Linked DNA regions of Cricetulus griseus. The protein of the gene in region 6 purifies or fractionates together with the protein of the main gene of each other region. This does not show direct contact. Links are inferred from orthologs where the notes say so. Each region holds a gene or a part of one and is shown on either strand. Other genes may lie near its edges. The genes, in order: Znf217, Mier2, Trps1, Pml, Sp1, Hdac2 and Arid4b.

Region 1 (3,500 bases), on a different chromosome or scaffold from region 6:
TAGGGCTTCTGCACAGTCAACACACTGGGCGACTCCACCTCCCCAGGGCTCAGGAAGCGGGCTTTGGGGAGCAGCACAGGTGATGGGCGCACACACTCTGATGGTAACAGCGAGGTGATACTCCTGGCCACGTGGTACTTGGGGAGCTCAAAGCCCCTCCTGCCGTTGGGCCCAGAATGTTCTGTGTCCAGGGCCATCACACTGGATTTGAGTCTTTTAGGATGTGGTTCAGTGAATTCTGCTGTGGCACTGCCAGCATTCCGATGGCAGTAGTAGTCTCTCCCTTGTGGCACCCACGGGCCATCAACCTTCACAGAATACTCGATGGAGCCATTGCCATTACTACTGCCGAGGGGGGACTGAGATGGGGCAGTTGGCGGGGCCTTGAGCTTCGGCTCGGGTCTCTTCACCTTATCTGCAGCAGCAGAGACACTGCCACCTTTGGGAAACAGATCTGACTGCTGCTGCCTGGTGGCCCCAGGACCCCCGGTACTAGGCTGTGACCTGTGTGACTTCAGGTTACTTGGGGCTAAAGTGCTGCTGTCTGGCCCTGATGTCTGGGGAGCTTTGCCTGGCCCCGAGGAGCCCTGTCGGACCTTCTCTGGGTGCAGGGACTTGGCCTGTGATGAGAAAGCAGGCTTGACCTTTGGCTTGTGCGGGCCAGACAAGGGAGGCACATCTTTGCCCAGCAAGGCAGGAGGACAGCCTGTCCGCCGGCTCCTGGACACTGACTTGCCACAGTTCTTGGGGGTGTCAGGGTGCCACCTGTGCTCCAGTCTCTGGTGCATCAGCAGAACTTCTGGATAAAAGGTCTTAAAAGTACAAAAGGGGCAGGAGATGCTAGGAATGAGACACTTGTTAAGGGTGATGGCAGGAGAGGCGTGGAGTGGCCCAAGGGACAGATTCAAAGGACTGTCCTGGCAGTCAGCACCAGGCTTGTATTTGCAGTCAGCCTCCCACTCCATCTTCTCCCTATGGGCAGCTTCCCGTGCCAGGGGCCCAGCCCCCTCTAGTTTGCAGGCAGGGCTGCTGGCCTGAGGCTCGCCTGCTGCTCTCTTTTTCGTCATGTCCAGATAAGCAGGGGCAGGACTCTTTCGCACTTTCTCGCCATCATCGGCTGTATGTTTATGGAAATCCTGAGTATCCTTGTGTGCTGGTGAGAGGACAGTGCTGCCCAAAACACTCTGGAAAACAGACGGCATCTCCTTAAGCTGCTTGGCAGATGGGTTGCCCTTAACATCTTTGGCACCATCAAGAAAGCGCTTTAAATTTTTGGTCTGCACACTGTCGGCAGTTAGTAGTGCTTCCTGGGGCTCCTGGCTCCGGCCTTCGCTTTTGACCTCAGCCGCAGCGTCCACCAGCTGCTTGTCCTTGTGATGTCTCTCTAAGTGGTATCTCAGAGATGTCTTCTGGGCTGCGGCATACTCACAGAATTCACATTTGTACGGTTTTTCACCTAGAACGAGATAAGCCAGTGTAAGATGATGTTTAGGAAAGACATCAATAAACTCTGCAAGCTAGCCAAGCCATGACACAAACCATGGGCTGCTCCCTATCGACCAATCTTCGTATCTATCTAGGACAGCTCACGCCCCAGTGTGCTCAACACTCACTTAAACCTGTCTTTCCCAGGAAAAGCTCACGGCACGCTTTTACTGAACTGACCTTCACTGCTGCCCGATGGCAGAGTCTGCACATTTCACAGCGAAGGAAATAGGAGCACGGGGATTGTTATCAGTGCTCCCAAGCCACAAGGCAGGCTCACAACTTCCTAACCCACGCTACTGCTGCACCTTCATCCAAACATCAACAAATACACCCTCTCTTCATTCCAAAATCATAAAGCGGTTTTGAAAGAATGTGACATTAAAAATATTGCAGGTTTGCCTTAAGATGAGAGCCAGAATATGGCAGCCGTAAACCTCAAAACGTAAGCCTCAAAACGGGACCCAGTGTTCGGGCTGCTGCCATGTTAGAGGACACAGCACACACTTAAGCCATCTGAACCACAGAGCAGCACATAATAGTTTCAGCTAACACATGCTTTAAGAATCAAGCCCTTTACCTGTATGCGTTCTGAGATGAATATTGAGGTAATAGTTTGAACGGAAAAACTTGCCACAGTAACTACACTCTCTCGAGGACGTGAGGGGCTTTGCTTTTCCTCCATCATCATTTTTATCTTAAAGCAGAAACAAAAACATTTGTGTAAGTCAGACGAAGCACATGATTCAGACGTGTGGACTCTGGTATTCTTGACACAAAACATTTGGAAAAAACCATAAAATAATTTATTTTAGTTCTGGGTAGAAGTTTCAAAGGCTAAAATAACATACCAAATGCCATAAGGCAGTATTTCATATCTTACACTGTGTGCTTTTGTTTTTTGTTTTGGAGACAAGGTCTCAGTCTATAGCCCTGACTAGCTCCGGTCTCAGAAACCCTCCTGTCTGCCTCCCTACGGTAGGGATTAAAGGTGTGTGCCCAACACTACACTCTGTTCTTCTATGTTCAGAGCACAGCCTGGTGCCCTAGCATACTCAGGGTCTGCACCCTAAATCACCACAATGACATTTGACAGACAGAACCTGACATGTATTGAACCTGGTTCATACTTGCGTGGACATGCCCACTAGCCAGAGAAACCTCATTACTCAGAACCAGTAATTTTATTTGGAGGCAGAAAATAGCTTGAAATTAAGGAAGTTACCACTAGGGGGCAGCAAGCTCAAAATAACTTCAACAGTAAACCCTGGCTTGGCTTTGGGCAAGTACCTAAGAAAGTTGATCAAAATTTAGCCAAGTTTGGGAAGGTGGAGTTCATGGTTTCCAAGCAATCTCGTGGGCAAAACAAACCAGGCTCATTAGAATCTACCGGAAAGGCAAGGCTGAAGTGCCTGGTGTGCAGGACCACCAGAGACAGGAGCCAACTAAAGATAAAGAGGGCTAGGGTTTCACTCTCACCAGCTCACCAACTTGAAGGTATAAGACTCCCCCCCTCCCCCCAGTGAGTTTCTAGCCTTTCCAGCATAGCCACCTCTTGCAATCTAGCCATCAGGGCCATGAGGCAGGTGTGGTCCATCACAAATGCACAGGTCCCACCTGGGTTCAAGATGGCATATTTAAACTGGTCATTTTGCCTTATGAAACTTATTTCCAATTACAGGCCTCGTTCTTCCCTGTTCTGCCACAAGCTACCTTCTCACTAATTTGCAAAAGTGGTTGGTCCATATACCTGGGTAAGAGCAGGTGTAATGAATGGGTCTATGCCATCTCCATTTACACCAAATCCCCACCAGGAAAAGAGATCCGTATGACAACTCCTGGCCTAAAATGGTACCAGAGATGGTGAAAATACTTCAGACTCTCTGACCTTCTTGAAAGTAAACCTGAAACAAACTGGCTGACAGCACAGTGGATGAAGCCCTTATAGTCCCACTGCATTTACAGCTAGGCTCACAGCTTACCCAGTCTCCAGCTGTGTCAGGGTGTATAGACTG
Region 2 (4,025 bases), on a different chromosome or scaffold from region 6:
AGCTCTAGGTCCTCAGAGAACCTCAGTGGTGAAGCATTCATCCCTCGAGAAGATGAAACAAGCAAACTACAGCCCAGAGACATCAAGATACTTATTTAGCAAGGACTCCAGAAGCCCCTCCCCTCAGCCAGGCCCATCTACTCTGAAGCACTATCGAAATACAGCACCCTGCCATGCAGCAAAGGGGTGGTGGGAGGCGCGGGGTGCATCCCCCTGGGAAGAGGTGCCAGTAAGCCCCCAAGGTTCAGGAGTGACCATAGCCCAACTAGCTTTTGAGGTGCCCCCACTTGGAGGCAGAGAGCTGAGGAAGATGAGGAGGCAGGTCCACCTGGGACAGCCGCAGGGCCTGGAGGCAAGGAAGAAACATGGCATTCGGGCAGGCTGTCAAGCATCTTACACTCTGTAACTGGTGTGGTGTGGCGAAGCGTCCTAACCTTGGAACACAGGCTACCAGACCCACCGGCCAATGTGAAGGCACTGGGAGGCTGCCCTAGTGTCCTTGGAACCATGCCCAGGGACTGTCCCTTTGTCCCTACAATCAGGAGCCCTAACTAAGAGGGGGGACACCAAAGGGCACCACAGTTGCACAACTGGCCAGCAACAGTCCCACAGCTTCTTTATCCAGACAGAATGAGAAGACCCTCCTGCTTTAGGCCAGGGGTCAACCTAAATAGGGGCTCAGGCAGAAAGGCTCTGAGAACACAACAGTGGTAGATGCAGCCAACTGAGAAACCACACAGCCTGCTCCTTGCCAACCTGGCCAAGTCCATCTCCAGGTGATCCTCAAAGTCCCCAAGACTGACTGACCAAGGCATACATATAAACATGGTCACTGGAAAACCAGCACATCACTTTAATGACACTTTAAAGGGTGGGTTCCAAGACCCTATTTCCCCACATCAGGAAAGACAAAGGCCAGCCCTCAGATCTCTGTGGCAGGAGGGAGGTTAGCCTTAAGATGATCCAGGTGACAACAGGACAAACACATTAGAGGCTGATTCCCAAGGAAGAGGCCAGAGGCAAGTGGGCCCCCAGCAAGGTCTCTGAGAACAGAGGATGCAGTGGGTTGGCATGGACACCATCACCCTGACTTGTCAGAAGCAGGGACACAGTGCCGGCAGCCCCTCACAGGCAGGTTTCCCAGTAAGATGCAGGGGACGCAGCTCTGGAGGCTGGGTCCCAGCATTCCATCTAGCATCTTTTGAACGACGGTCGCCATGAGAAAGCCCAAGTCCTGCAAAGACCTCATGTATGTGTGACAGCTGACATCCCCACGGGGGAGGAGCCTCAGCATTAACTCCAAGCCCAGCCAGTTACCTACAAATGGCAAGCCACAAGAGTCCCAGTGAACCACAAGAAGTATGAGAGGCCAGAACAAACGAATACTTAAAGAGCAAGACTCAAGAGAAAGGACCCACATCCACACCCAGGCAAGGGTCCCTGTGCCCCTGGTGCCCCAGCCTCACCCTTCCACTGTAGCAGCAGCTAGGCCATCCTGAGAGACGGGTTCAGCCTGTCTCCACCCACATGGAGCTAGAACATGGGACAACAAATTGATGGGGGCTCAACCAAGACAGAGGAATGAAGAAAACAAGGTGGAGGCTGGGAAGCTGGGGTCAGAGACGGGACAACTGGCAGGCAGCTCCATGGGAATTCAGAGAACTAGAAAGAAACCCAGGGGGTAGGTGGTCTCATGAGGACCACAGTGGGTAGGCACAGTGAAAAGATGTAGCGAGACCAGCCACCTGTGAGACACACGCTAACCAAGCAGCTGACAACCAAGGACTGCAAGATGCCCACTTTCAAGAGTTAAAAATATATGAACCCCGCCACAGGAGCAGAAGACACATCAGGATCCCACCGACCCTCTCAGCTACGGGAAGATACTACCCGGCTCCCTCAGAGAGGAAACTGAGGCCGGCACCTTCTGAATCCTAGACTCCAGGACAGGATGTAGGCACAGTCTGGGAAGTCTCCACCCAAGCCACCCAGGGCAGAGCAGCCTCCCCGGAGCCCAGGAGCCACCACTCAGCCACCATGCCCGAAAGCATGCCCGTCTTGTTTCATTAGGAGCCCGAAAGAGCCCTCCGGATCGAGCAGCCAGGAAGACACCACGGGGCCCCCGGAGCACGGCCCTGTGGCCCACGCGCGGGCCTGTTGCTACCCCAGCGGCCCCACTCGCGCACCGTGCTGAGTTCCAGTCCCGCAGTGGCGGGTTCGCGGCGCCTCGGTGAGGGCTGGTCCCGGGGCTCAGGGGCCGCACTCCGCGGTGCAGGTGAGCGCGGGGCTGAGCCCAGCAGCCCAGCAGCCCCGCGCCCGCGGGGAGGCCCGCGCCCGAGCTCCCACAGCCAGACCAACTCCACGCGCGAAACTTTCCGCTCGCAGAGCGCCGCGGACTCCGCGCCGTGCTCACCCCAGCACGCCGGGCTGCAGTCCCTGCGTCGCCGTCCCGGCCGCCAGCGCCGCCTGCCCGCCCACCCCGTCCACGGCGCCCTCCGCCGCGCGGCCCCGGGTCTCGGCCAGGCACCCGGCCGCCCGCGCCTCGCGCCCCTCCCCCCCGCCCGCGCATGCGCACCGTAGCTGAGATGGGGGGCGGGAGCGCCCACGGGGCTCCCGCTCCGGCCCGGGGCTGGTAGGGAGGCTCGGAGCGCTCGGGGTGGGAGAGCACGGGCCGGACCAGGTCTACCCAGGGCGGCGTGTGGGAGGGGCCGCTGCCCAGCCGCTCACTCACCTCCGCCATGGCCGAGCGTGCGCGCGGGAGGCGGCGGCCGCGAGGGTCCCCGGATGCGGTGCCGCGCGCTTATTGGCGGAGGCGCCGGGAGGCGGGGTGGGGCGGGACGCAGGAGGCACGTAGTAGGTGTGCTGGGGCGGAGCGGAGGTATATAGCCTCAGCCCTGTATGTCCCGCCCTGGCATCAGCCAAAGGGCTGATTCCTGTGTGCATGCCCAGCTACCAGGCGGGAACTGTCCACAGATGAGGGAGATGGAGCAGAGGTGAGGGACATGGCGCAGAGGTGAGGGACTTGGCGCAGAGGTGAGGGACATGGAGCAGAGGTGAGGGACATGGCGCAGAGGTGAGGGAGATGGCGCAGAGGTGAGGGACATGGCGCAGAGGTGAGGGACTTGGCGCAGAGGTGAGGGACATGGCGCAGAGGTGAGGGACATGGCGAAGAGGTGAGGGAGATGGCGCAGAGGTGAGAGAGATGGCGCAGAGGTGAGGGACATGGCGCAGAGGCGCAGAGGTGAGGGACATGGCGCAGAGGCGCAGAGGTGAGGGACATGGCGCAGAGGTGAGGGACATGGCGCAGAGGTGAGGGACCTGGTGCAGAGGTGAGGGACCTGGTGCAGAGGTGAGGGAGATGGCGCAGAGATGAGGGAGATGGCGCAGAGGTGAGGGACATGGCGCGGAGGTGAGGGACCTGGCGCGGAGGTGAGGGACCTGGTGCAGAGGTGAGGGAGATGGCGCAGAGGTGAGGGAGATGGCGCAGAGGTGAGGGAGATGGCGCAGAGGTGAGGGACCTGGCGCGGAGGTGAGGGACCTGGCACGGAGGTGAGGGACCTGGCGCGGAGGTGAGGGACCTGGTGCGGAGGTGAGGGAGATGGCGCAGAGGTGAGGGAGAGGTGCAGAGGTGAGGGGGCGTTGATCTAGAAGTGACAGGTGACATGGAACGGTCCACAAGGAAGATGTTCCACAGGTGGCGGGCCAGTCTACCGATGGGGGTTAGGGGTTGGAATGAGTGGATGGTCTGGAGGTGAGGGCTGTGGTCCAGAGGTGATGGGGAATGGACAAGAGGTGAGAGGGGATAGTCCAGAGATGAAGGATACAGCCACAGGTGGGTGGTGGAGGGGGTGGAACATGGTCCTGAAGTGAGGGGAAATGGTCTAGGGATGAGAGGGGGTGCTGCTGAGGTGAGGGATACAGGCCAGGAGGTAGCGAGCAGGAGCACATGGGAGCCTCAGGAACAGACCTGATGTCAGGTGGGGCAGTCAGAATGGGAGACACTTGGAGACACACCTGGGTTTGCA
Region 3 (4,011 bases), on a different chromosome or scaffold from region 6:
CGGGTGCTCGGGGCGGGGCGGCGGCGGCGGCGGCGGCGGCGGCGGCGGCGGGGACGCGCCTGTCTCTTTAAGGGAGCTGGGTCTGGGGTGGCGCTTTCCTCCGCGAAGGCTCCTTTGATATTAATAGTGTTGGTGTCTTGAAACTGACGTAATGCGCGGAGAGTGAGGTCCTGACAAGCGATAACATTTCTGATAAAGACCCGATCGCGTTGCAATCTCTCCTCCAGCGTCCTCGCGCTCACCGCTGCTCGCTGCCTCCGGACCCCGCGTCCTGCCGATCGCTCCCTCGCCTCTGCCTATATTTTATTTTTTTAATTATTATTTTTTTTAAAAACAACAACAACAACAACAACAACAACAACAACAACAACAAAACCTCAACAACACCCCCTCCCTTCTCCCACCCGGCACCGGGCACATCCTAGCTCTATTTCCTTTCTCTTTCTCTCGCTCTCTCTCTCTCTCTCTCTCTCTCTTTTTTTTCCGGGGGGGGAGGGAAGGGAAAGGGGGGGAGGCAGGAAAGATCTTTCTCTCCCCCCCCCCAATAATCCAAGATCAACTCTGCAAACAACAGAAGACGGTTCATGGCTCTGGCCGCCGCGCCACCATCTTTCGGGCTGCGGAGGGTGTTCCTGACGATTAATCAACAGGTAAGGGGGAGCCTGGCGGGCGGGCGGGCGAGCGGGCGAGCGGGCGAGCGGGCGGGCCGGGGGGCGCGGGGCTCAGCCGGCCGGGGCGCCGTTCCGCCAGCGCTGCGCCCCGCGCGAGTGTGCGCAAAATGTGGGCGATCGCGAGCGGGGAGCCCTGGGAATTAAAAGTGACTTTCTTTGAAAAAAAAAAAAAAAAAAAAAAGCCCAGCCGAGGGAGAGAGAGAGAGAGAGAGTGTGCTGCAAGCAAGCGCAGGCTTCTCGGGTTTCACACGCATTTTTTTCTTCCTCCCCCCCCTTTGCGCGTGTGATTTCTTTCTTTCTTCTTCTCTTCTGTTCCCCTTCGTCCCCCCCCCCACAACACCAACCACCCCCCCCAATTCCTCTGCCCCCTTTGCTGGGTCTAAGGCATCTGAGCCTTGGAAACCAGAGAGACTTCAAACTGCAAGTAGCCCCCAGAGTCAGGAGGGTCAAGTTCAGCCGCCGGGGAGGAGGAAAAACAAATCCCGATTTGCCAAAAAAAGAAGTTTCAGGCCGGTGCCCCCTCCCCCCCCCTCCCAGCCCCACTCCCCCTCGCTGCTGTCTCTTGCTGGCTGATTTTAATTCTCTCCTACCGGGAGCAGCAGAGAATCTGGAGGTGGCTGGACCCGAGGGGCCGCCGCCGCCGCTGCTGCAAGTTTTCTGGGGGCTCCTGACAAACGGGGAGCAGACTGGGCACCGGCATGCAGAGTAGTAAGTTGGGTGAACTTGGCTGGGTCGGGAGGGTTTCCGAGAGGGGGTCCTGGAGTGGCCCTCGGAGTGGTAAAAAGAAAGAAAAAAGAAAAAACAAAAAACAAAACGGCATAGACTGCCTTTGGTTTTTCAAGAGTTTAGTTTGCAGAGCCAGGCTTCAAACTTTTTTTTTTTTTTTTTTTTTTTCTCTCTTAAAGGCCCAGCTGGGCTACAGGGAGAGAGGGATTGTGGCATCCCCTGGTGTGCCCGTCTCTGGGCAGCTCAGGGCAGCTCAGGGCAGCCTGGGCCCAGGGGTCTGTGCCCTGTCGGTACCATGAGGCAGGCAGGGCCTTGCAGCCAGGGAGCTTCCGTAGGGGCTGAGAAGGGGCAGACTTCCTCTGCGGTGCGGTTGATGCGCCATGTGTCGAGCGGGTCAGGGGACACTGGCTGGTGATTAAACGCCTGACAGCGGTGGGACATGCAGGCAGGCAGACAGGCTCTTTGCTCTCTGTCTAGTTCCTGTTTGGGCTGTAGAGTCTGAAACGCATCTTTGAAAGGCCAAGGCAAACACCTCTATCCCTCCAAATAACTCCAGGATTATAGGACCCCATGAATAATTTGAGGGGGAAGCCGAGGTGGAAGCCGTTTGAAGTGCAAAGCTGTTTTTGTGGCTGGAGAAGCTTTTTTTTTTTTTCTTTTTTTTTCTGTGAGTACCTGTCTGCGATGGTGGTGTTTTCCCCTTTCACCAGGGAAGTCACTAACTGTTTTACAGCGCCAGGACTCTAAAGCCATTGAAGTGAGGCGACCAGGGACCAGAGAGGACTTAACTGGGAATCTTGCTGGGGCTTACTACACTTTAGGACCTGGCTGACTTCCCCATATCTTTTTAGGCCTCACATTTGATCCTTTGAAAGTTTTTGAGTCAGAGCCATGGATTTAATGATGAATCCAAATTAAGATAGAGTATCCATCCTTATCCGGTTCTGGGAAATCACCGCTAGCGTTTTTTAAGCAAGGTAAGTGAAGAGAGAGAGGGGTCGAGCCGAGAGGTGAAATCAGGCACAAGTTAGGCCGATTCATTGAACTTTTCTAAGCCCTCCAGGTGAACAGGAAAGGGCCTGGAAGAGATAATCAGCACAAAGGCAAAAATACAGATAAGGGCCGGAGACAAGATTACAGAGAACTCATCATTCTAGGCCTTGTTGGCTAAATTTGATTGCTCAAGGGGGGGAAAAAAAGAACAGGGCTTAAGTCTTCAGAGTGTTGTAAACTCCTGAGCACAAACCCACCAGTCTCAGTCTCAGTCTCAGTCTCAGTCTCAGTCTCTCTCTCTCTCTCTCTCTCTCTCTCTCTCTCTCTCTCTCTCTCTCATTCTTTTCTGCAGGTTTTAGAAAGAGTTGGTCATGTAAAAAGGCTGTCAGGGTTAAAGATGTTAGGGACTGTCAGGAAAGTAATTGCAGCTAGCAAGCAGGTCCCTGACTGGGCAAAAAGAGAAGGAAAAGTCTCTAATCTCACAGCTGGGCAGCTTCTTCCATGCAGTTCCCTTGCTTCTGAGGCTCTCCCAGTTAGCGTAGCACTTGTGTGGAAAAAGCAAAGGTTCGAAAATAATCACCATGAGGCCGGCTTTCCCTCACTTTTCCTTTGCCCAAGTATGACAGGCTTGTGAATAAATACAGGGTTTGTATGGGAAGATGAAGCATTTCCTGTAAGTTTCGATGCTGACAGGACAGTCTGGAAATGATACCAACATTTGAGGGTTCTTTTTTTTTTTGTTTGTTTTAACCTTTGAGTGAAAGTTTATTAATGGCCTGCTCAAAGTTCACAACTTAAACTTATATGTTCATTGAGTTTATCCTTTGGTAGATTTCCTAACTTCCTTTTAAAAGCTGTACACTTGTATTGAAAACATCTCCAGTCAAGTTACATAGACAGGGCCGTGAGTGTGCTGGTTGGATGATTATTTCCGGGTTTTAGTACTGTGGAAACAACTGCAAAGGTGGGAACAGACTTACAGTGACTCTGTGCTGCCGTGATTTCTCCAAATGTAAGGCACTGGGAAGACCTATCAGTACAATACGGCAAACTACTACTTGCCTCTCGAGAGTGGATATTGGTGGCCTCCTGATGTGCCTTTGGTGTGTGAGCCTGGAATACTTTTCCAGGCATAATAACCAAGTCTGACACTCTCCGAATAACTGGTAGGAAGTACCTAGCAAAAAAAGTTTGTCACTCCGGAATTTTATATAGTGCTGCTGGGTTGCTCTTGTCCTTTGTTAGAGCTGACATGAAAGGTGTGGAGGAGAGCTGCCAGAGTGACTGTGACTCCTGAGTTGAATTCCGAGCTGCACACTTTGATTTCTAATATTGTGAACGATTTTGCAGAAATTTCTGGATACTTTCAGACAAACCCGTTTGGTATCCAAATTGGTGTGCATTTAATCACGAGTGACCTACATAGACCCTTACTTTGCTTTTGGCATCATTTTTGCTTTTCTTTTAAGTCCTGAATTTATTCTAGTTTCCACTGTAAGACTCTGCGAGATGCAGAAGGGAATATTCATTCATAAGAAAACCTTCCAAACACGGAAATGAGTGCCTCGTTGGGAATGCTGCCTTTAATAGCCTGGTATTTCAGTGGTGCTTTTACTAATAT
Region 4 (2,780 bases), on a different chromosome or scaffold from region 6:
CCCAAAGAGGGGCTGGGATAGAGATGAGCCAAGGGGCTCCAGGAAGCCTGCTCTCTACTCCAGGTCCTTCTCCCAGTGGGTGTGGAAGGAACACAGAGTCAACTATTGCTCAGAGGCTACAAGACTCTTATCGGCTCCTGCAGGCCTAGGCACTCTGCCCCAACATAGTGTGTATTAATATTACTATTTTGCTAAGATTTGCTGTTGGCTTTCTTATAAAGTGCTAACTCTCATCTTGTTTGTGAAATAAGACCTTAAGATCAGGAAACTGATCTTCTCATTGAGCTTATCAAAGACCTCATGAAGTAAAATACAATACACCTTATCTCACTTTCAAAGGAGCTGCCTGTAATCAGGGAGTTAACAGCCACATTGTGGCCACTGGCTACCAAGAACTGAATTCCAGTGCCCTAACTTGTAGTCCAATAAGGTTTTGATGGTTGCTGGTGGTAGTGGGATAAATCTTGACAGAATTTTTTTTTAAGAAAATGGCACACACAGCATATTTAAACTTTGATATTTTTGGTCAAAGGTCAAACTAAGAGATTAAAGCTCCAGAGTGGGACTTGGGCACCTGGGCAGTGGGTATAATGATGATGTTACTGAATAAGCCTGTTGGTGGTGGCGCACACCTTTAATCCCAGCACTTGGGAGGTAGGGGCAGGTGGATCTCTGAGTTTGAGGCTAGCCTGGTCTACAGAGTGAGTTCCAGGGCAGCCAGGGCTACATGGAGAAACCCTGCCTTAAAAAACCAAAATAAAAAAATTCACATATAAGGGCTGCAACATCAGACAGGACAGGGCTTCTTTCCTCCCTTTGTCATAAATCTGCAGCAGCTGAAACTGAAGACAGCCAGCCTGGTGGGGCTGGGACTCAGTATGAGACATGGCTCCAGCACTGCCTTGCCTGTATAGCCAGGCGAGGGTCTTAGCCTCTTTTCCTCGACATCCTCAGCCCCACCCAGAACCAGAGCTCTAATGGATTGCTGTCAGAGCTCAGTCTCACCATGGTAGAAATGGGCTTCTACAGGATGCCTTCAAACATCAGGACGGGTCAGAGGTGTGGGCAGGCATCGCTCACTTGAAAGTGGAGACCACCAAACCTATCAAGACCGGACCTCTGGGCTATCTGGGAAATTCCTTGAAGCAGGAAGCAGGGAATGGGTGAGGAGGTGGACAACACCAGCAACAGTTCAGATAAGCATAGGGAAGCTGACGTTCAAGATGATCATAAGGTTGGGGACCAGTGGCTTGGCATGAGAGGTAGGGTCTTATCTGCTGCGCCAGCAAGCTGCTGTCCACACTGAGAGACCAGGATGACAGAACTGGCTGGGGACTCTGAGATAAAAATGCAGGCCAGCCAGCTCATTTCACAGAACACTAGAGCTCTGGCCTAATCATATTCAGTGTACACAGCCAGGTGTTTTCTCTACTTCCCTTTGATGGGGAGGTGGTCTGTGACAGCAGTGATGCTCAGAACTGAGCAGACAGCGTTGCCCGGAGAACCTGTTAATGCTGCAGGCTCTACTCCAGACAGCCTGATTCTGGGGACCTCGGTAAAGCCACCTTCCCAAAGGTCTCGATGCAAGTGTCCTACTGGGTGTCCCTTGAAAGGGCTGAGTGCAAGGGGGGTTAGAAGGCCTGATGAACAAAGAACAAAGTTGGAAGTGTCAGTCTGTAGAAACGGGGATATGGATGGAGCAACAGCTTCTAGCTCTCTGATGCTAGAAGGCCCCTTTGGAATGGAAGTGTTTTTTTTTTTTTTCATGAGCACAGTTGGTCTCTGGGCAGTGGAAGCTGGGAGAACCCAAATTCATGAAGGGCAATTTGGTTTGAGAGGCACTTTGGGTGCCCAGGGGGTTGCTGGTATAGTGGTAAGCATTGTCTTAGAGCAGTGGTTCTCACCTTGTGGGCCATGACCATAGAAAACACTTATTTCTGATTATCTTAGCAATTGAGACACTGCTCAGCAGCAAGGTTACAGCTATGGCTGGGGGTTCCTAAGACCACCAGAAATGTGAGTTCTCCAATGGTCACAACCTGCAGGTTGAGGACCTCTGCCTGAGGGTGTTATTCGTGGGAGCTACCAGCAGATCACTTGGGACATTTTGATTGAGCATCAGGGAGGAGCTGCAAGGCCCCCCGTGGTAGTTGTAGGTGAGGTGCCTGGGGCCATATGAGGGCCAATCAGAGAGCCCAGAGGCCACACCTTGTAAAGTCTTCCTAATTCTGTCTTCTAGAGGAAGGACTTAGGTCTGGGGTGCCTTTGATGTCTGCTGCAGGAATTTTAGAGAAAGAGTGTTTGGTCCCAGATAAAGGGCACCTATTCCGAACTAAAGAACAGCTCTGTGTTGGAGAGCAGGGCCTGGGAATGTGGTGAAGGGTGGGGCCTGGCTCAAGGATGCCCCTCCCTCTGTGGCTACCGGCTAAGCCAGATATCCCTTTCTGTCAGCTCTGCTCGGAGGCCTCTTTGGCCAAGCTCTGGCCAGAGAGAGTAGAGTTACCTTCTGACCTGGCTGGGGCACACCCTTCTGACAGTTCTTCCATGTAGGTGTTCAGAGCCTGAAGGTATTGAGCAAGTTGGGTGGAAGCCGATGAGGAAGAGGTCTGCGGGCTCAGATAGCGGCCATACCTCTTCAAACCCTCTTGCTGGTTGCTGCGGTATGCAGTCAGCAGTTCTAGAAAGCTCACATTGTGGAGGGCCAAGAGGCGGGCCTCGGCCGGGGGCAGGACACTAGCCTGAACTAGGGGCTGCAGGGAAGAGAAGCACTGTAAGTTACT
Region 5 (4,071 bases), about 140 Mb from region 6:
CCCATCAACAGTCTGGAACTGTGGGATTACTTGATACTGAATATTAGGCATTACTCCAGGTAGACCTGTCAGAACTTGCTGGTTTTGTAAGTTGGGGGTAGCAGCCACAACATACTGCCCACCAGAGACTGTACGATTCTTGGAAGACTCGCTGCCATTGCTGCCATTGGTACTGTTGCCACTCTGTTCCTTTGAGGTAGGGGTAGCCCCAGAGGAGGAAGAGATGATCTGCCAGCCATTGGCACCCTGTGAAAGTTGTGTGGCTGTGAGGTCAAGTTCACCTGTGCCCCCTGACTGACTCGGACCCTGGGAGTTGTTGCTGTTCTCATTGGGTGACTCAATTCTGCTGCAGGTTGCTGCCAGCAGAGCCAAAGGAGATGGCTGGGATTCCTGGCCAGAAGAGAGGAAAGGAGTTAGTGGCACCCAATAGCCTGCCTAGGGGGCAGTATTCAACAGACAAACAGCAACAATGCAGGCATATAAAGAGCAAAAACCAGAAATAAAATGCTGACTTTTGTGTACTGTTCCAACTTTCTTATTTGGGGACCCTCTAGATCATCTATCTTTCTGTGTGTACTTCACTACTGTATTTTTTTTCTCCCAGCTTTTTGATTAAGGAACTTTCTAAGAATATTTACACCCTCAACACCTTCCCCACCTTTGACTGATCACTCACCTGCCCTCCTCCGACACCACTGCTGCTGCTACTGCCTGTGCTGCTGCTCCGAGTCTGAGAAAAAGATGCACCACCACCATTACCGTTACCCCCGTTATTGCCACCAACACCTTTTTCAATCTTCACGGCTGTCACTTCATCCATGGAGTGATCTTGATCTAAAAATAATTACAAAACAATAACTTAAAGTGGAAGAAGGAGAAAAAAAATCACCCAAAGGTTTAAAATAAGGCTCTGATAACCAGCCTAATGACTAATAGAATGTTTAAAAGCAGAGTAAAAAAGGAAATAGGGCCAGATATAGATATGGTGATAGGCCTGAAATCTCAGAATTTGGAAGTGGAGGCAAGAGGGACATGGAGGCAAGAGAAATAAGAGTTCAAAGAAATTTTCAGTTACATCAGTTGAGATGCCAGCATCTCATGCCAGGCATGCAGAACAGGCATGTGCCTCAATGGTGTCCAAGATGGGCCACTATTTCCCCATGTACAAAATTAAAGTCAAAAACCATTCAAAAAGCGCTTTGGGCTGGGCAGTGGTGGCGCACGCCTTTAATCCCAGCACTCCGTAGGCAGAGGCAGGTGGATCACTCTGAGTTTGAGACCAGCCTGGTCTACAAGAGCTAGTTCCAGGACAGCCTCCAAAGCCACAGGGAAACCCTGTCTTAAAAAACCAAAAAGAAAGCGCTTTCGAGCTGGATGGTGGTGGTGGCAGCAGTGAAGGCACACACCTTTAATCCCAGCACTTAGGAGGCGGAGGCAGGCAGATCTCTGTGACTTCAAGGCCAGCCTAGTCTGCAGAGTGAATTCCAGGACAGCCTTCAAAGCCACAGAGAAACCGTGTCTCAAACCCCCATCCCCACCCCCACCCCCCAAAAAAGTGCTTTGGAAGCCAGGCATGGTGACTCACACCTGTTCATCAGTTCTAAGTCTATCTGGACTAGAGTGAGACCTGGCCTTAAACAAGACAAATAGCATTTCTGAAAAAGGGAATTTGAGGGCAGTATCTCAGGAATACTAGTTGCCCCTAGTGTTGGCATGGCACACTCTGTAATCTCAGCACTCAGGAGGAAGAGGCATGAGGATGGCTAAAAGTTTAAGGCCAGCCTGGTTTTCATAGTACCACACAGACCCTGTCTCAAAAGTAAAAAAAAAAAAGCATTCTGGGAGGAAGAAGAGACCCAACATGTGGTTGGATGGAAAAATGTGCTAAAATTAGGATTAAGAGAGATGGAGAAAGACCAAGTGTAAAGCTAAATAAATAAAAACAGGAACAGACAGAGTACATCATAAGTACCGATAGGGACACTTCTGAGGATACAGGTAAGGGGCTAAAGTGGTCTAGGGCTTAGAACCCAGGTTTGGGGCTGAGAGGGCGGGCCTTAGAAGGAAGGGGCGTTTTCGGGGTGAGGGGCGTGGAAAGGGCGGGTCAGATGGGGGAAGGGAAATGTTCGGGGGTGCGGGGGAGGGCCTGGGGCAGGCAGTGACCGGAGGGCGGACCGGGGAGGCGGTTGGCCCAGGCGGGGCCTGCACTGGTCGGGCCGCCCCCGCGGCGCCAGCCCCCGACGGGAGGAGCCTCAGGCGGCAGGCCGAGTAGTGGGGGGTAAGGCCCGTCCCCCGTGGCCGGGGCGGGCAGGGGGCGGGCGAGGCCACGCTGCCCCCTCCCCCGGGGCGGGTGGCCCATCCCCCTCCTCCTCCGAGGCCCCGCGACTGCCCCTTCTCCCTCCCTTCCCTCCGCCCCGGGCGGGACCAAGGCCGCCGCCGCCGCCTCCCGCCCGCCCCCCCTCACAGCGGGGACCGCCCGGTCGGCCCTCGCGCGCGCCCCCTCACTCCCCTCCCACCCCTAGGCATGGAGTGGACTCATCCTTACCGCTCATGGTGGCAGCTGAGGGGCGAGCTCAAGGGGGTCCTGTCCGGGGGGGTTGGGGGGGGCCAGGAAAAACGCGGACGCTGACGAGGCAAGCGAACCCGGACCGGACAGGGAGGGGGGGTAAGGAGGAGGGAGCAGCGCGCCACAAGCCCGGCCTAGTCTCCGCCCCTTATCTGCTGCCCCGCCCAATGAAGGAGGGAGAAAGGAGAGCCTTGCAGTAGAAAGGCGGGCAGACGACCCAATGGGAAGACTCGTTCCCTCGCAAAGGCGGGTAAGACCAACTTGCGTGCTGGTGTCCGCCTTAAAAGGCCGCCCTCTCAGCTCTAACAGCCAATAAAAGCTTCAGGAAGTGAGAGTGGGCGGGACATAAGGAAGATCGACTTGGAGAGAAACCAGTGATTCGCCGGGCGGGCTCCGTGAACGGTGGTGATAGGACGAGCTTAGGAAGGAGTGACAGGACAAGGACCAATTAGAATCTTGAGCATGCCGGGGCAAAGTCCGTTTAGTAGGAGAGTAAGAAATAGGCCGGAATGGGATAGGATCAAGCTATCTAAACCAATCAGGATTCAGGCGGGCAGTTAAGAAAGTTCTGATTGGTCAATAACTGAGACGATCCGGAACAGGATGCATATTGACATGAGCTCACAGCCAATTAGACGCCGAATAAAAGGCGAAGGCTGGAACTTGGAATGGGGAGAGGAGACCTGGCTTCCTCCTCAGATACTCAGGCCAATGAGGGGAAGAAAAAGCCCTGGCACCGCCTCTAGCTTGGCCAATGGTCGTTTGTGGGGCCGCCCATCGTGAGGAGGGAACAGGGGCTGTGCCAAAAGGAGTTCGTCGCCATGTTGGCCCTGCTCGGGAGACTTCCTTACGTCGTTAGGTTGTACACTCCAGCTGAGCCCTGCAGCTCTACAAGTGTCCCTGCCGAGGCGGGCGAGCGCCGCGTGTTTCGCCACACGGGATCGCTCCAGTTTTCACATCTCGCACCCGACACCCTCTCGAATCCCACCCCTGCAGGGGTGGGTGGGCGGCTCCCCCTGGCCGTGGGTGGAAGCCCTGCGGCGGCGGGCGGGACGAGAGCTTGGTGACGGCCCTCGAGAGCTCAGTCAGTTCTGAGCTCACCAATATGGAAGGCTTTCGGGAAACTCTAGCAAACGCCATTTTCTTAAGCTGTCCCGAACGCGCTAAGTCGAGGGCCCAGAACTCTTTGAGACTGACTAGAAAACTTCCGGGATCAAAGCTCTCCTAAACTACTCCCTTTTCACTTCGTTACTCGTAAACACCGCTTCAGCAGAAAGCACAGTAACCTAGTTACTTCCTTTTGCAATCACAAAGGTTCACGATTTTGCCCCAGGCACTTCAATCCTCGGCTTCCATTTTGCCTCCAAAAACCTTTAGCACTTACAGTGAATACTACTAGCTGAATTCTCCTTTAGACAGCTTAAAGCACTTTGAAGATAGAAACTGAGGTATCTGCTGCCTCTGAGGTGGCCTAGGAAAAAATAAGTGACAGCTCAGTTATCTGT
Region 6 (3,500 bases):
CAGGCTGCCCTCTGTGACCCCACCGGAAGCAAGAGAGAGCCACCTGTCCCGACCCCAGACCTAAACCCACCCATCATGTCTGCACCTGTGACCACATCTGTTTGAGTGTGGTCAGCGCTACAGGTGTGGGGTGGATATTTCACTGCAACGCTCAGCATAGATCATCAGTGAGTTACCGTCTTGGGGTCTGGTTAACTCCAGTGTGTGATGCTTTGTTGATTTTTGTAACCTTTTCATAACAAAGTTTAAAGTAATTTGGAAAAAATTAAAATGACATAAAGAAAAAAGATCACCATTAACTAAGGGAAGTTTATTTTTATGTTTAATTAACTGTTTCCTTCATGTAATTGTCAACTGGCATCTCCTGCTGGAACAAGTGTTTCTGATAGAACCATGTGGACATTTGTGAGGACAGAAGTTTCTATGCAGACTACAGGAACAGCAGCAAAACAGCATCCCATACTACCACCCAGCCCAGGCCAAGTAACCATAAAGGGATTTTATAAAATGAAGGCTAGAACCCCAAAGAGGAAGAAGCATGGAAAAAACAATTAAGTGGAGCAAGTTGGACATCAGGTGGCTGACTTCACTAGGCCTGAGAGAATGTAGCTGAGGCTAGTCGTAGGAAAGTGCATTTATTCTAAGTCTTAAAATGGAATTACAAACATCCTTATGTGCTTTACACAAATGAACTTCCTCTACCTTCTGAAACACAACATATATATACTGTAAGGGTCAAATGCAGTTTATAATGAAAACTACTACTTTTAAATATAAACACTAGAAGTGGGGTTACTGCTCATTGCAGTGTATAAGTTGCTAGCACCAAGAAAGAAGGGCACATCAGACAGGTCACTTCAGGGAACTCCTATCTGCTTTGACACTAAATGGTTAGTAACACTTCTGAGGCAACAACTTGACAGTGCTGCTAACTGAATGCTGACCTACCAAGAAAGTGGGCAACTAATTTTGTGTGGCCAACTCAATACACGCGAAGTAGGGTAACAGACTTATACCACAGTCCTAAGGCTGGTCTGCAGAGTGCAATCATAAGTAGTTGTTAACATCTATATTTAGTTATTTTAAAAGTGCTATTTTAGGATTCTTTACATCTTATAAGAGAATTCAAAGTAAGATGCCTTCATTTAAAGCTAATTGCTACTGCAAAGTTCACTTGGAAAAAAAGGACTTTACTGCAATATATGCAATGTGCATGACAAGCCATTTCTGATCCAAACATTAACTTTACTATGAAGGCTTGTTCTTTAAAAAGGTTTATTCTAAGCCAGGTGGTAGTGGCTCACAACTTTAATCCTACCACGTGGGAGGCGGAGGCCAGCCTGGTCTACAAAGAGAATTCCAGGTCAGCCAGGGCTACACAAAGAAACCCTGTCTCAAAAAACAAAAACAAAACAAACGTGTTCTGCCAGAGGTAACAACTAAGAGGGAAATGGAGAGCACACTGATCAGGGAGGTGTAGTAAAACAGAAGCAGAGGGCTCTATGTCCCACTAGACCCAGGAGGACACTTAGTTCAAACAGGAGGACCATTCTTAGGTCAGGGACGGAGCACCTGATACAGCTGAGCAGAATATATTTCCAAATTCAGTTTAGTAATGAGCAAAGAGGAAACTAAGCAAACAAAAAAGTCAGCAAAAAAGTGACTGGTGTGCTGCTGCTGTTTAGCAATGGCCATGGCCCAGATTCTTACAGCTATGAACAGATGTGGGAAGAGCATGCAGATCAGAGCAAATCCTCATCACTGTAACAGCAAACAAATTATTTAAAACTGATATAATGGATTAAAAACACTGACAACTCCTGTGCCAGTTAGGATGGCAACTAACTATTCATGGATAAATGTATAAACACAAATATGGCAACACAGGAAGGACTTGCTGGGAAACAAGATTACTAGTCAGCCACATAACCCCACCCCACCCCCCACAAAAGGGAAAAAAAATAGAAAAAAACAAAAACAAAAAACCCACTGAAAATACAACTACAAACCAGGTGTTGGTGGCACACGCCTTTAGTCCCAGCACTCAGGAGGCAGAGGCAGGTGGATCTTTGTGAGTTCGAGGCCAGCCTGGTCTACAAGAGCTAGTTCCAGGATAGCCTCTAAAAGCCACAGAGAAACCCTGTCTCAAAAAACCAAAAAACCAAAAAAACCAAAAAACCAAAAAAACCAAAAAACCAAAACAAAAAAACCCATACAACTACAAAGTTTGGCATCAAGTCATCAAGTTGGCAAGCAAAAAATAACAATGAGAACTTAAATTTTTTTTCTCAAAATACTTTTTAAAAAATGTGTATGTTGTACACCATGTGCGATGCCTGGTGCCTGTGGAAATCAAAGAGGGTGCTAGATCCCCTGGAACTGGAATAACATTGGGTCATGAGCCATCATGTGGGAGCTGCGAATCGAACCCAGGTTCTTAACCATCTCTTCAGCGCTCCACAGTGAGAACTTTCGTGGGAAGCAGCGCTTACCTTTGACAGTGAGATTGAAGCAGCCAAGCCTATCACCAGACAGTGAGTCTGCACCACACTGCAGCACCACAGCACTAGGCTGGTACATCTCCATCACTTTTGAGATTATCTAGACTCAGAACAAGACACATTAGTATCTAAGGATATTTTACAACTCCACTTTACTTTTGAAAGCAGTACTTACAGGCTTAAAAATTTGTCCATAGGACTCATCATCTATACCATCTCTCATGGGAAAGTTGACAGCATAGTACTTTCCTTTTCCAGCACCAATATCCTATAAACAAAAACAGATCTTAAGAGATTATTCCATAACAAAAAACTTGACTTAGTTTGAAATGATTAGAAGATCAAGCAACACAAATCTGAAAAAGGAAATAATAAAAAAAAAATAAAATAAACAGGTGTATGATCCAGTATTTGTAGACATACTTCCTAAGCTCTAAAGCAAGTTTTAGGGAAGAAACTTAACAGCATCATTCATTCAGTTAATACAAATAAAACACAAGTCTTGTAGCTTGGGCTGGCAGAAGGGCTGAGCAGGTAAAGCTCAATGAGTTTGATCCCCAGGACCCACCCACATGGCAGGAGAGAACTGACTCTTGCATGGTATCCTTTAACGTGCCATACTCATATCACTCCCAACACACAAAAACAAAGTAAAAAGTTCTTACAAACCTCAATCTGATTAGGTATGAAATGATTTTACAAGATGTAAAGGCAGACCCCACTTACTTCATCATTCTCAAACTGAAAGGTGTCCTATGACCCAGAACCATTGGTAAGGGAGGTCTCCAGAGCCAATACCAACCGCACCCTTTGCACCACCCTGGAGCCCTGTGACCACAATCCCAGTGAGGGTCCCAAAAATCAGTCTTCCACACAACCTACCAAGAAGCCCTGGGTCTATGTGGTCCTCTGTGCCCTTGATCCTGGATAAAGACCCTGTGTGGCCTCCCCTAATCCACAACCATCTGAGGACAGTGTGATATCCTGCACCCCACTGCT
Region 7 (4,235 bases), on a different chromosome or scaffold from region 6:
TCAATTTGGTATAACCCTTTCAGAAAAACATTTACATTCTAAGATATGTCAGGCAGGCATTATAATGGGAACTGTGACAGATTATAACATTCCGAAAATGTATTCATCTTCCAAATTTATTAAACATGTATCAGTCAACTTAAAATTTTTTCCCAAGTTTTCATCAAACAGCAAGGCAATTACATGCTTTTCCTAAAAACCTGACCTTTTCCTAATAAACTCAGTTTTCACTCAGGTTATACACCTATGACTAAGAAGAAAAGGGTTTCATCTCTGACATATCACTGGTTATGTTTTCATTCACATGAAAGTAAGACAGGAACTCAGTAAACAAAAACCAAGCCATCTACAGAGCCCTAAACTTGAAGAAAAACAAACAAACAAAAAAAAAAAAAACACCTTTAAAAATGGGCTAACCTGCTTTGTACAATAAGCAAATATTTAAGTGGCAAGAGCATTTATATTCTTTTATAAACAGAAGATGGGGGGGAGGGTGGCACCTGCCTTTAATCCCAGTACTTGGGAGGCAGAGACAGGCAGATCTCTGTGAGTTCAAGACCAGGCTGGCCTACAAGGGCTAGTTACAGGACAGTCTCCAAAGCCACAGAAAAAGCCTGCCTCAAAACCCCCTCCCCCGCAAAAAAGAAGCTTTTGAAACTCTACCTGGATGCAGTCCTACAAAAGAAATTCTCACTCTGGAGATAAGAGAAAATAATTTTAACAAAAGAAGAAAACAACCCAAAAGAACTGTCAAGAGTAGATGCCATTTGCATTCTGACATGTTATCGGTTACATTTCAATCGGGTAAACACACACTACTAACGTTTTCAAGCACATCTTAATTTGTATAGATTCAAAGGAAAAAATATTCTAGTATCAAGATTCAACCAGTTAAATCTAGATATATCAGAAACCCAAATCTTTTCATGCCACTGGAATTAAAAAAAAAAAAAAAAACTTTACAATTTCCTAAAATGACAAAAAAAAAAACACCTGTATTTTTATTGCCATGATTTATTCCACCAATTCACAAACTAGTTCTTAGACACATTTCTTAGAAGCTATTCTGCGGTCAACATATTTACTTAGAGGAACCTGGCCATCAGTTTTCCACACAACACATCACAGCAGAGCACGTGACAACTCCAAGAAAAATGAACCACACAACCCTTAGTCCCTGGAAATACAAGGTGCAACAGGCCAAATAGATCTCTAAAGGTAAAGAGCAACAAACTGCTAAAGATAAAGAGCAACAAACTGCTTCAAACATCTTCAAAAATTTTTTTTGCTTAAAATTCATGGCTCTGAGACACAATCAAACGAAATTTTCTTTCATCGGCATTAACAGACAGACCCACTGTATAGCAGTACTGTTTGTTTCAAGAGTCAGGTTACTAGACCAGCTTTCTGTTTTATGAATTAAGACGCTTTAATTCGTTCAGTTGTTCCTAAGGTTCCATGCAAAAGGCGCTCGCTGTTCTATTCCGGAGCCGCACAGCTTTGGTGACACAGTCTCCTAACTGACTCCACAACTCCACGACACAGCCCGTGGATGTTCGCACCAGCTGACCCTCTGTCTCCAGGGAAAGCTCCTCACTAAGCCACTCCACACACCTGCCTCTGCAAAACTCGCAGGCCCGCCACAGACACGGCCCCTACACTTCCTGAATTCGAAAGCCACTCAAGCTGCTTGAGTGACGCCTTACCTTCATGGTGACTCTGGGGCCGCGATCCCCACGGCGACACCAGCTTCACCTGCACCTGGAGGGGAAACAAAGACACCCGGTCAGTACCACCGGCACCCCCTGCGCCGTCGGGGCGGGGGCGGCACCGAGTGGGGCCAGGAGCCCGAGCAGGCACGCGCCATCCCAGAGCCCTTACCGCCCCCACCGCCCTCCTCTTGCCGCCCCATTGTCGCGACTCCACGGACTTTTCTCCGTCCTCCACGATGACGCCATTTCTGTCAGAAGAAAACTCACAACAAGCGCAGGGTCCGGCGCGGCCTGGAGCGCGGCTGCAGCCGTCCAAGCCCACGGAACCGCGATGCCCGGAACCCCGGGGCTGAGCCCTGAGTGAACCGGTGGGCCCTCGGGCTGCGGCGGCTCGACCCCACAGAGCCCGTCCGCGTCCCGCCCGAGCCCGGGCCCACAAGTGGGAGCCGGGGCCGGGCACGGGCACCGAGGACACCCAGTTCCCAGCCCCACGGGCCGAGGCCGCGGGGCCCACGATGCGGCCAGGGAAGGGCGGCTCCGGCTCAGCACCGCGGGGGGCGGGGGTCCCGGGAGGCCGAGGCGCCGCTGCAAGAGACGACTCAGCCCCGATGCCATCTGCCCCGCTGCGCGGCCCGGCCCGGAGCTTCCCCCACGAAAAATAATGCCCCTACCTCCGGGGCAGACGAGGTCTGAGGCGTGCGGCCGGAGTCCCCCCGCTCCGCCTCCCCCCCCAACCCCCCAACACCAGCAGGCCCAGGGGAGAGATGGCGAAGAAGCTGCGGGTCCGCCGGCGGCCGGGGCTCCGGCTCCTCCTCCTCCCGTGGCGGCGACTGGTACCTTTGTTTGGCGGCCGCTCCGGCTCCCTCGCGGGGGGAGGGGGGCGACGAAAAATCCCTCCCAGACGGAGGTCCGGGCCCCGGTCTCGCTGCCCTCCCGAGGACCGCGGCGGCCGACCTTCTGCGGCTCCCTCCGGGCAGACGTCCAGGCGGTGGCCGCGGCGGCGGCAAGCTGTGGCTGGAGACTCTCCCTTCGCTCCGGCGCCCGTGCTCCTCACTCCGGACTCGACTGACGGGCAAACATCGCTTCCCCCCACCCCGGCCCCCCTTTCCCTTTCTCCCCTCCCCTCGGTTCTTTTCCCCTCCCCTACCTCTTTCCCGGATGCCTCTCAGACGATCTAGGATTGGCTAGGATTCTTCGGAGCCCGCCTCTTCCAAGTTTTTATTGGTTTGAGCGATGCAAACAACGACGCCATTTTCCCACCAGTTCTATGGAAACAGAAAGTTATGCCTCGATACTTCCTGGGATTTGTAGTCCACTCTTCCGAGCCAATTGGCAAACTCTCGGACATAAGAACTACCAAGACCGCAATGCCCCTTGCCTGAGTTCGACGGGAGCGGGGAGGGGAAGGGGGCGCGGCCATAAGGTAGAGGGGAGGTGGCATACGACGCTTGCGCAGTGTGACAGGGATGGCGTATTTTCTTGCACCGAGTAATGCGGCGGCGGTGGCCGCTGAGGAGGGCGGAGATTTCTGTGGTGAAGTAGTGGGAGGGCTCCAAGGAGGTCTCGCGAAGAGCCGCGGTCTGAACTAAAAAGTGAGAAGTTGATGTGGGTACTGCTTGTCTCGGACCGGCGGCTTGAAGTCTGAGATCATCGTGGAACCGTGAGCAGCGGCAGGGGGGGACCCGGATGGGGAGCGGGGGAGGGGGTACCGAGGAGGAAGAAGAAAGGAGGGAGAGGACCCGGATGCTGACCCGGATCGGGGTGACTAGCGACCGGGTGGTGGGACGCGTGGGAGGCAAAGGAGCTCCGAGGAGTGGAAGGGGGTACCGATGCGGCTCAGGGGAGAAGCCCGCCTGCGAGCTTATTACACCGCTGCCCGTGTCGAGCCCTTTTCCCCAGAGCTATCATTCCCCCGGCTTGGAGTGAAAAGATCTTGCTGTGCGCGTCTCAGCTGCGTTTCTTGGTAGCCCCTATCTGTAGCTAGTTTCAAGTCAGAGCCTGCCTATTAAAAAATAAATAAATACTCTGCATGGAATTTTCAATATTTGTATGCGTGCTGATGCGCTGATTTTATCCTCTGAGATGTTAGGAGAAGGTCAGTCATCTTAATGGAAAGACGAGATGGACCGTGTACAACTTCCTGAACGCGTCTGCTCAGACAAAGTGAAGCGTGATAGGAGGATGTGGATTAGAACTTTGGCTCAGGGAAGTATAGAGCGGTTTTCCTGAAGGAGTGAGGACAGAGCTTGACTCAAGAAGCCAGCAGAAGAGCCTAAAGGAAATGAGAGCCCAGAAAGAACATGCTGGGAACCCGTTTCAGGAGAAAGCTTTGCCAGTATGATGAGGAAGGTTGGTTAAGGAATTTTGATCCAGCACCCTGGAGACTGAAGCAGGAGGATTACTGTGCATGGTAGGCCATCCTAGACTACACAGGATGACCCTGTCACCAGAAAGAAAGAAAAAAAATTAAAACAGGTTTAATCTGTTCTAATGGCCCAGTGAACAATAGGATACGTTGGATTC

What was found.
Region 1: the proteins of Hdac2 (region 6) and Znf217 purify together in Homo sapiens (affinity purification with mass spectrometry; 6 studies listed by BioGRID and IntAct, with this or other methods). This does not show direct contact. The link is inferred for Cricetulus griseus from reciprocal best matches to the Homo sapiens genes HDAC2 and ZNF217.
Region 2: the proteins of Hdac2 (region 6) and Mier2 purify together in Homo sapiens (affinity purification with mass spectrometry; 3 studies listed by BioGRID and IntAct, counting the BioPlex papers as one, with this or other methods). This does not show direct contact. The link is inferred for Cricetulus griseus from reciprocal best matches to the Homo sapiens genes HDAC2 and MIER2.
Region 3: the proteins of Hdac2 (region 6) and Trps1 purify together in Homo sapiens (co-immunoprecipitation; 4 studies listed by BioGRID and IntAct, with this or other methods). This does not show direct contact. The link is inferred for Cricetulus griseus from reciprocal best matches to the Homo sapiens genes HDAC2 and TRPS1.
Region 4: the proteins of Hdac2 (region 6) and Pml purify together in Homo sapiens (affinity purification with western blotting; 3 studies listed by BioGRID). This does not show direct contact. The link is inferred for Cricetulus griseus from reciprocal best matches to the Homo sapiens genes HDAC2 and PML.
Region 5: the proteins of Hdac2 (region 6) and Sp1 purify together in Homo sapiens (affinity purification with western blotting; 11 studies listed by BioGRID and IntAct, with this or other methods). This does not show direct contact. The link is inferred for Cricetulus griseus from reciprocal best matches to the Homo sapiens genes HDAC2 and SP1.
Region 7: the proteins of Hdac2 (region 6) and Arid4b purify together in Homo sapiens (affinity purification with mass spectrometry; 4 studies listed by BioGRID and IntAct, with this or other methods). This does not show direct contact. The link is inferred for Cricetulus griseus from reciprocal best matches to the Homo sapiens genes HDAC2 and ARID4B.

Annotation. Positions count from the first base shown.
Region 1 is NC_048599.1:9,219,970-9,223,469, reverse strand, and holds part of Znf217 (zinc finger protein 217), read right to left. Parts: intron 2,183-3,500; coding exon 2,066-2,182; intron 1,457-2,065; coding exon 1-1,456.
Region 2 is NC_048598.1:100,337,989-100,342,013, forward strand, and holds the start of Mier2 (mesoderm induction early response protein 2), read right to left. Parts: upstream 2,801-4,025; 5' UTR 2,741-2,800; coding exon 2,732-2,740; intron 2,709-2,731; exon of another isoform or gene 2,576-2,708; intron 2,523-2,575; exon of another isoform or gene 2,414-2,522; intron 2,314-2,413; exon of another isoform or gene 2,187-2,313; intron 1-2,186. Other genes in the region: mucin-1-like, read right to left, coding at 2,801-2,862, 2,954-3,644. UniProt on the Homo sapiens protein: Transcriptional repressor.
Region 3 is NC_048603.1:4,197,342-4,201,352, forward strand, and holds the start of Trps1 (zinc finger transcription factor Trps1), read left to right. Parts: upstream 1-1,211; 5' UTR 1,212-1,369; coding exon 1,370-1,379; intron 1,380-2,248; exon of another isoform or gene 2,249-2,374; intron 2,375-4,011. UniProt on the Homo sapiens protein: Transcriptional repressor. Binds specifically to GATA sequences and represses expression of GATA-regulated genes at selected sites and stages in vertebrate development. Regulates chondrocyte proliferation and differentiation.
Region 4 is NC_048597.1:169,821,363-169,824,142, forward strand, and holds the end of Pml (protein PML), read right to left. Parts: coding exon 2,448-2,780; 3' UTR 501-2,447; downstream 1-500.
Region 5 is NC_048595.1:398,783,863-398,787,933, reverse strand, and holds the start of Sp1 (transcription factor Sp1), read right to left. Parts: upstream 2,801-4,071; 5' UTR 2,553-2,800; coding exon 2,546-2,552; intron 2,110-2,545; exon of another isoform or gene 1,973-2,109; intron 835-1,972; coding exon 677-834; intron 391-676; coding exon 1-390. UniProt on the Homo sapiens protein: Transcription factor that can activate or repress transcription in response to physiological and pathological stimuli.
Region 6 is NC_048595.1:259,855,914-259,859,413, reverse strand, and holds part of Hdac2 (histone deacetylase 2), read right to left. Parts: intron 2,770-3,500; coding exon 2,677-2,769; intron 2,602-2,676; coding exon 2,493-2,601; intron 1-2,492. UniProt on the Homo sapiens protein: Histone deacetylase that catalyzes the deacetylation of lysine residues on the N-terminal part of the core histones (H2A, H2B, H3 and H4).
Region 7 is NC_048596.1:237,192,700-237,196,934, reverse strand, and holds the start of Arid4b (AT-rich interactive domain-containing protein 4B), read right to left. Parts: upstream 2,801-4,235; 5' UTR 2,550-2,800; intron 1,762-2,549; 5' UTR 1,713-1,761; coding exon 1,707-1,712; intron 1-1,706. UniProt on the Homo sapiens protein: Acts as a transcriptional repressor. May function in the assembly and/or enzymatic activity of the Sin3A corepressor complex or in mediating interactions between the complex and other regulatory complexes.